Linked DNA regions of Neurospora crassa OR74A. The protein of the gene in region 1 interacts with the protein of each later gene in a pairwise test. Links are inferred from orthologs where the notes say so. Each region holds a gene or a part of one and is shown on either strand. Other genes may lie near its edges. The genes, in order: trp-2 and trp-1.

Evidence for each region.
Region 2: the proteins of trp-2 (region 1) and trp-1 interact in binary tests that used the Saccharomyces cerevisiae proteins (3 or more experiments, as listed by UniProt). The link is inferred for Neurospora crassa OR74A from reciprocal best matches to the Saccharomyces cerevisiae genes TRP2 and TRP3.

What each region holds. Positions count from the first base shown.
Region 1 is NC_026506.1:3,652,789-3,657,257, forward strand, and holds trp-2 (anthranilate synthase component I), read right to left. Parts: upstream 3,051-4,469; 5' UTR 2,882-3,050; coding exon 2,706-2,881; intron 2,629-2,705; coding exon 1,056-2,628; 3' UTR 548-1,055; downstream 1-547. Other genes in the region: NCU05130 (hypothetical protein), read right to left, coding at 1-173; NCU17136 (hypothetical protein), read right to left, coding at 3,554-4,156.
Region 2 is NC_026503.1:2,982,555-2,987,003, forward strand, and holds the start of trp-1 (anthranilate synthase component II), read left to right. Parts: upstream 1-1,499; 5' UTR 1,500-1,686; intron 1,687-1,704; exon of another isoform or gene 1,705-1,784; 5' UTR 1,785-1,951; coding exon 1,952-4,240; 3' UTR 4,241-4,449. Other genes in the region: NCU00199 (hypothetical protein), read right to left, coding at 1-544.

The DNA.
Region 1 (4,469 bases):
CCATCCGTTGGAGATGACGGAACTTTGGATTGATCTGATCCAGCTTGATCTTGTGGCGTGTCTGTTGGGTCTGGATCTCGGAGGCGACGGCGCTTTTGAGGTGCGCTTTTGCGGATGCCCTGGGATCGGTTGCCTGTCAAGGGCTGACCTCTCTGAGCTCGAGTGCGGACCATGATGACGACCCCGGACGGCAGGGTGCGGACGTGGTTAGGTGGGTGTTCGACGATAGAGGATGGAGCGGCAAATGGCTTGCCACGTTGTAAAAGAAATGGGGAGATGAGTTGGTTTGAATACTACTATGCAGTAGCGGCATGTTGTTCGAAGAATGCAAGATGAAGTTTAACGACGGAATAGAATCATGGGCGCGAATGAGTGGCCAGCCCAAGGCGCGTTCAAACCCGGGACCCACTATTCCCGGTCGCGGCAACCGAGCCAGTACATCATGTCAGGCTGTGATGTGGTCTCACGTGTGACAAGCTCGCCCTGACAAAAAAGGTGGCACCACTAGTTGCTGCGTTGACTGCCCCTGTAGCACCCGAAAAAGTGTCACCGTTCCAATCACCTTACACCTTTTTTGGGGGGGTAAATTAAAAAAACAAAGAGATCTTCTCCTATACGTTAACCGATGCAATACCCGCCGCTGAATAGGAGGGTTATATGTCTCCAGTATCTCGGCCTCGTTAACTATCTTACAAAGGCGCCTTAGTCCCGGTGCGGCGGGAAGACGGGCGCTTACAGTGTATACCCCGGAAAGCGGAGTGTTAGCAGGGAGAGGCCGTTGGCCGGTTCGCTTTAGCCAGTCGGGGAAATAGGAGCCGGGGAAAAGAATTCGGCGGCCGCCGAGAAGGGAAGGGTATATCGATGCTCATGGGACAGTTATCGCCGACAGGGTGGGACGTAGGACAGAGCAGTGGACTTGGCAGACAAGGACACCGAGTTTCACCCAGACCACACCTATCATGGGAAGGCTTCAGCCTGCAGCTCAAACATTGATTCACCTGGTATCCTGTTTTGACTGAGCCTTCACAACACACACAAATACACCATACTCGCAATTACGCCCCAGCGCTCATCGTCTGCAGCTTGTACTGCTCGTCGCCCTTCTTCCTCTCCTCCTCAATGATTTCCTGCACCGACTTGGATCCCGTACTTTCGCCGTAGTACTTCTCAGCCAGTTCGATGCAGCGCAAGTTGGCGGCCAACTTGTTCATGGTCTCCATCCACTCCTCCGTCTTCTCACTGTCAAATACAATACCACCGCCCGCCTGTAGGTAGGCAACCTTATTCTTGACCAACATGGTGCGGATAGCAATGCAGGTATCCATCTGTCCTTCGCTCAAGAAAGTGGTAACAGGGGCATCACCCTCACCACCTTCGACGCGAATGACATCATAGGCGAACCAACCGGCAGCGCCAGCGTAGATGCCGCGCTTCTCCTTCTCCAAGTCGTAAATCAGCTCCATGGCACGAATCTTGGGCGCGCCCGACACGGTACCGGCGGGGAAGATGGAGCGCAAAGCGTCCCAGCGGGTGCACTCGGGGCGCAGCAGACCGGAGACCTCCGAGGTGATATGTTGGACGTGTGAGAAACGGTCGATGCGCATGAGGCGGTCGACCTTGACGGTAGACGGGTGGCAGACACGGTTGACATCGTTGCGGGCCAAATCGACCAACATGACGTGCTCGGCGCGGTCCTTGGTTGAGGCCAGCAGCACGGCCGCAAGCTCATCGTCCTCCTCCGAGTTGAGGCCACGCTTGATGGTACCGGCAATGGCGTGGTTGACGATCCTGGGACGAGAGCGGGCCTCGGCAGCACTATAGCCAAAACGGGTATCCGTGGGAAGGTCGGCATAGCCGTCGGTCTTCATCAGGCATTCGGGCGAGGCGCCAACAATGTGGAAGTCAGAGCACGAGAGGAAGAAGAGGTACGGCGAGGGGTTGAGCGTGCGCAGGGTCCGGTAAATGTTGAAGGGGTGCAGGCTGGTGCTGCGAGAGAAGCGCTGGGATGGGACGGCCTGGATGATGTCACCCTTGACAATGTTCTTCTTGAGCTCCGTCACAAAGGTCTCGTAACCGTGGCGCCCAACGTTCGAAGCGAATGTCTGATCGGCGACGGGAGCGCTAGAGTCCTTGGGCGGGAGCGGCGTCTCTGGCTGGTTGATCACTTCGAGTGTCGAGCGAATGCTGTCGCAAGCCGCGTTGTAGGCCGCCTCGAAGTCGCCGGAGGGGTCCTCGGGAAGTCGGACATGGGTGACGACGGTGAAGGCGGAGGAGAAGTGGTCGAACGCAACCATGGTATCGTAGAGCATGAAAAGGGCCTCGGGGATGTGTAGGTTGTCCTTGAGTTCGCGACCCTTGACCGTCCTGGGCTCGAAGTACTTGATGCAGTCGTACGAGATGTAGCCGACAGCGCCGCCCGTCAGCTTGGGGAGTCGGAGGGAGGGGATGCTGAGGACCTTGTCCTGGCTGAGCTCCTGCTCAAGGGCCTTCATGGGATCGCCGACATCTTGGTAGCCGGGGCCGGTCTCGAGGACCTTTCGGGGGTTGGCGCCAATGAAGCTGTAGCGGCCGACAGTCTCGGTGCTGCCAGTGGCGCTCTCGAGGAGGAACGAGTACTCAGCTGTCGCTCTAGCCGAGTGAGTCAATTGAGCTATTCGGAACGGGACACACGGCGAGGGGGAGAGAGGTTTGGGAGGAAGACGCACCCTGCGGAGAGCTTGAGGTAGATGGCCGAGGGCGTCAAGAGGTCGGCAGGCAAGGAGATGCAGAGGGGGAGAAGGGTGGGCCTTGGGGATGCTGTCGAGGTCGCTGATGCTTGGCATGTCTGGTCGAAGAGCTTGCGCGCGTCCTCCAGGGACGGCCTGATGTCGAGGGCAGCCATCCTGAACAACTGAACTGTAACGTCTAAGCAAAGGAAGGCAGAAACGGAAACAGGAACAGGAGGGGATTCCCTGGGTGGAATTGGCACAGAGACAAGTGGAAAGAGTCAGTGGATGGATGTCAAAGTGACAACTGAATGAACCGGTCGCGGAGGAGACGGGACGCCATCGATCGCAGCCGTGAAAGTGGCATGCTTCCACTTGCCCTCCAACGCTATACATAATTTTACACCGCCTGCCGCGTTTGGTGACTCACGGAGTGGGGCTTCCTGCCAAAAGGTGCCGGAAGGGCGGGGTTTGTTCCTGGCTGAACGCAACCTTGACGGCCGATAAGCCGATAAGCCGGCATCAAAGGTGTACATCATGCACCAAGTGACGCTGTTAGTGTTTTCACATATTGCACTGCCTCCTGCTAACGATTAGTGTCTAAGTGAAAAGTCGCTGTATTGATGTTATTGAAGGACTGTTCCGGCTTCTATCCAAGACACCAGTGTCTGTTCATTATTCATTACATGTTATTCTGTCCGGACACTATACAGTTTAGGGAAAGAATATGTTCGTATCAATCAGTCATCAATTCGTTGCCTCGTCAATCCGTTACGCATGGCGCAATGCTCTATCATCCTAATTGAGCTTCTCCTTCCCATACTCCCAATCAGCTTCCATTCTTCCCCTTAATACCTCGAAACACTAACACTGCGACTCCGACTCCTCCTACTGCTCCTCCCCCTCCGATCATCATACACATGAGTCGGGTAGGCCACCACAACCGGCACCTCGCGCATCGAAGACGACCTCCTCGAATGGCTCCGGTGCCTAGAATGACCCCGATGATGGCTATGCGAATGCCTCGACCTCGATCGTGAGTGTCTCACCCCGCCCACGTGTCTGGGCGGGTATTCATCCCTCACGTCACCGTACCAAGCCTTGCTGTTGCGCTTGCCGTGTGTCGGTGGAGCGCCCAGGTTGAAGCAGCTGCGGATAATCCAGATGAGAAGAAGCAAGCCGACGATGGAGCCGATGACGATGCCGGCAATGGCGCCGCCGCTGAGGGTTTGCGCGTCATCAGGGTCGTTGTCGTTGTCGTTGTCGACTTGGACGAAGGTTACCGTGGCGGTGGGCGGGGCATCTTGCCGCCGGGTGATGGGGCTGAAGGTTCTTGTAGGGTGGATGGCTTCGACTCCTTGGAGAGCTGGGTGTACGATCCGTTTGAAGACAAAGTCTTGGAGTTTCTCGGCCGTTGAGGCGGGTATGCGTGGGAGTGGTAGGGGAGCCATGGTTGATGGTTTGTTTTGACTCGCGGACTTGGTGCTCTCGCTTCTTCAATGTGATGGAATGTGAAGACTGTTGTGAAGACTCCCGAGTATAACAGGCGGGTGAAGGCTAGTTATAAGGGTCCTTCATCTTGAAGAAATGTGTCCCTGGCATCTTAGGAACCAATGTTGTTCATCATGTCCATACATGTTTGCCGGCTTTTCAATCTCGTCTTGGTAGAGATTGGGACCGGTGATGTAATTGTACATGATGGAGGGCATCTTGCATCTGCCGATGATATTTTTGACTCGTTTCTTGCTTGAGGTCGAAGCCTGG
Region 2 (4,449 bases), on another chromosome or scaffold:
CATCCTTCTCAAACTCGGCCCATGTGGTTTCGGCGTCGGCAACGGTGGAGAGGTTGAGGAGGACGAGAATGTTGGAAGTTTGCGCATCACTGACTCCAGCAGCTTCCTGAATATTGTCGATGTCCTGGGTAGAGAGAGGGCCGACGAGGTGGGCTTGTGGGCGCGACTGGAACTCGACTACGACGATGCGCAGGGCGGCAACTTCGCTGATGTTGACATTGGTGCTGAGCCATATGGCGTCGTCCCTGATGGTCTTGATATTGAATCGCTCGTTGGGCGTCTGGGTCACGTTGATGGCGGCGGTCTTGGTCTCGAAGTCGGCTTTCGTCTTGGAGGTCGGAGGTTCAAAGGTCTTGGAGGGGTTCTTGAGCAGGTGCTGGACGTAGGCATCTTTTAGAAAGGAAGAGACGGCATTGCTGGTGATGCGATCGCCCTGTTGGTCGGCAAGGGCAGAAGCGACGAGTTTCCAGGACAGTATTATGTTCTTGCCCGTCAAACACTCCTCCAGCGGAGGGAAATATGTCTTATCGGTCAAGGAGGCCATTGGTGATGAGGGTCTCCATCAGCGGCCGGGACCAAATTTGGGAGAATGGGTATTGGTGGGAAAAGGTTCCCTCGAGAAGCGGTGTTGTCGTCGGGGTCGTCGTCGTCGTCGTCGTTGTCGCTGCCGTCGTGTGGTCGTCGGGTATTTCTGGTCGACGTTCGATGAAGATGGACGAGACAATGATGTATAGTGAAACGAACTGTCGACCGGATGGGAAAGCTACCGTAGAGCTTTGATCCAGACCCGAGTCTCTGTCATATGGCGGCTGCTAATATGTGGTGGGAGAGGGTGTTGACAGGACGGATTGTTTGTGATGTAAATATTTTGGGCGGATTCGAGATTCCGTTGGTTGGTAGGTTGGGTTCCTTCAGTTTGCTTGGCTGCTCTGCTGTGGTATTTGCTTGACGCGCTTTCCTTCCTTGACTGACGCGGCTGGCAATGGTGGTGTTGTGTGCAGGGCACCTGTGAGCAGCAGCAGCAGCAGCAGCAGCGCGGGAGCTTCAACGCTTTTCCCGCCAAAGTCGAAGAATCGGGCGGCCAGAACCACGCGCGGGACCAAAGAATTCCCACTGTGTTTTTTTGCGACAGAGCACTCCACTGCAGTCCCGTCAGTGAGTGTACCACCTATGTCTAGGTAAGAATTTCCACTTTTGGTGGGGCCTCTCTCTTCGATAAGAGATAAGGGATTTCAATGTTTCAAAACGGAACATTCAGAACAACACCGCGCGGTTTGTACGGAATGACGGCGACGCTTGGGCCCTCTATTTTCTTTCTTTCTTTCTTTCTTTCTTTCTTTCTTTTTGTTCTTGATACAAGTTCGCAAAACGGGGGCTGGAGGTAAGGGGACTGTGAAGCTCACAAAGCTCGTAGACGAACATCCGCTTTAATACTTATTCATGTCGGTTTTGGGAAGCCATTGAGCCATTGAGAGCCACTTGCATCCCAGCGTTGAGAGGTGATTTGTAAACGGTTGTTCTAACGCCACTCCTCGGTCACATCTCTCATGGATGGAATTTACATACATTGTACAATACACAGCTCAAAGTAACTCACGCCTAAACATCGAACAAAGTGCAAGTGACTCACTCACAAAAGACACCTTGCGCAAGCACTTGTGAATCGCTTCAGGCTCAGATAGCCAGGTACGTATTGTAGACTCTCGTCATTCTGATTTCACAACAACGAAAAGAGTCTTTCTATTCATGGAGTAGTGATACTAACAGTACTTGTCCACAACTAGCTGTAGGTAGTGCTACTTCAGTTACTGCATCCGAAGTCGGGCGTCTCGGGGTTCATTCGTGTTTCGTTTGGTAATTACACTCAGGCATTTACACCACAGCTGCTGCACCTCGGACTCCTTCAGGAACACCCTCAATACTGCACGGCACTCTCACAAGTCCAATCACAATGTCGTCCTCCTCAGTCGTCGACCACTCTCCCCACGATTCCGCTCCTTCGCCCCTGGTGCCAACCGCCTCCAACCTCATCCTCATCGACAACTATGATTCGTTTACCTGGAACGTCTACCAGTACCTCGTCCTCGAGGGCGCCAAGGTGACCGTCTTCCGCAACGACCAGATCACCATCGACGAGCTCATCGCAAAGAACCCCACCCAGCTCGTCATCAGCCCTGGGCCCGGTCATCCCGGCACCGACTCCGGTATCTCGCGCGATGCCATCAGGCACTTCGCCGGCAAGATCCCCATCTTTGGCGTGTGCATGGGCCAGCAGTGCATCTTTGACGTCTATGGCGGCGACGTGTGCTTCGCCGGTGAGATTCTGCACGGAAAGACCTCTCCTCTGCGCCACGACGGCAAGGGCGCATATGCCGGTCTGTCTCAGGATCTGCCAGTGACGAGATACCACTCTCTTGCCGGTACTCATGTCACCCTTCCCGAGTGCTTGGAGGTTACCTCTTGGATTGCGAAGGAGGACGGTTCCAAGGGTGTCATCATGGGTGTCCGCCACAAGGAGTACACCATTGAGGGTGTTCAGTTCCACCCGGAGAGTATTCTGTCTGCTGAGGGTCGTGGCATGTTCCGGAACTTCCTTCACATGCAGGGAGGCACTTGGGCGGAGAACGAGAGACTGCAAAAGGCCGCCCAGGCACAGGCTGCCAACACAAAGTCCGACGCTCCCACGCCCAAGAAGAGCAACATCCTTCAAAAGATTTACGCCCACCGTAAGGCTGCTGTGGATGCTCAGAAGCAGATTCCTTCCCTGAGACCTTCTGACCTCCAAGCCGCTTATAACCTGAGCATCGCCCCTCCTCAAATCTCTCTTGTCGACCGTCTTCGCAATTCCCCCTTCGATGTCGCTCTTTGCGCCGAGATCAAGAGGGCATCTCCCTCCAAGGGTGTCTTTGCGCTTGATATTGACGCTCCGTCGCAAGCTCGCAAGTATGCGCTTGCCGGCGCGAGTGTCATCTCGGTCCTGACCGAGCCAGAGTGGTTCAAGGGCAGCATCGATGACCTCCGTGCTGTCCGTCAGGTCCTTAACGGCATGCCCAACCGGCCCGCCGTCCTGCGCAAGGAGTTCATCTTTGACGAGTACCAGATCCTCGAAGCCAGACTTGCCGGTGCTGACACTGTTCTCCTCATTGTCAAGATGCTCGAGTATGAGCTCCTCGAGCGCCTATACAAGTACTCCTTGTCTCTCGGCATGGAGCCCCTAGTCGAGGTCCAGAACACCGAGGAGATGGCCACAGCCATCAAGCTCGGCGCCAAGGTTATCGGCGTCAACAACCGCAATCTCGAGAGCTTCGAAGTCGACCTTGGCACTACCGGCCGTCTCCGTAGCATGGTCCCCAGCGACACCTTCCTCTGCGCTCTCAGCGGCATCAACACTCACCAAGATGTTCTTGACTGCAAGCGCGACGGTGTCAACGGCATTCTTGTCGGCGAGGCCATCATGCGTGCCCCTGATGCCACCCAGTTCATCCGTGAGCTCTGCGCCGGCCTGACGGGCCCCGTGCCCAAGTCCGCCGCCGAGCCGCTGCTTGTCAAGATCTGCGGCACCCGTTCTGCCGAGGCCGCTGCGGAAGCCATCAAGGCCGGTGCTGATCTTGTGGGCATGATCATGGTGCCAGGCACCAAGCGTTGCGTCGACCATGAGACCGCCCTTTCCATCTCCCAGGCTGTGCACATGAGCAAGAAGACCGGATCCACCGAGGTCTCCTCGCAAGCCTCCAAGTCCGCAAGGGACTTTTTCAATATCAACGCCGAGATCATCCGCAAGCGGGGACCTCTGCTGGTAGGTGTCTTCATGAACCAGCCCCTTGAGGAGGTGCTCGAGAAGCAGCATCTCTACGATCTCGATATCGTCCAGCTCCACGGTGACGAGCCGCTCGAGTGGGCCAACCTTATTCCAGTCCCCGTTGTCCGCAAGTTCAAGCCCGGCCAGGTCGGTCTTGCGACCCGTGGGTACCATGCCGTGCCCCTGCTGGATTCGGGCGCTGGATCCGGCACGTTGTTGGACTTGGAGTCTGTCAAGAAGGAGTTGGAGAAGGATGAGCAGGTAACCGTCTTGCTTGCGGGCGGATTGGAGCCTAGCAATGTTGTCGAGACGGTAAAATCTTTGGGGCCTCTGAGTGAGAGGGTGATTGGTGTTGATGTTAGCAGTGGCGTTGAGGAGGGAGGCAAGCAGAGCTTGGAGAAGATCAGGGAGTTTGTTAAGGCTGCCAAGTCTGTCAGGTAAAAAGCTTACGGTGCGGTTAAGGCCCAAAAATCAAGTCTCTTTCTTTCGGTATCTCTATATGGGTTCTCAAAAGGTGGAATTGTGATTATGTTCATGGTTCTGACGACTCAGAATGCGAATGTGACAGAACAGAACTGATATGGATTGCTGGAGAAGACTGGGGGGGATACTGACTGACCCCTTATTCTTTGTCATGATTCATACCGGGA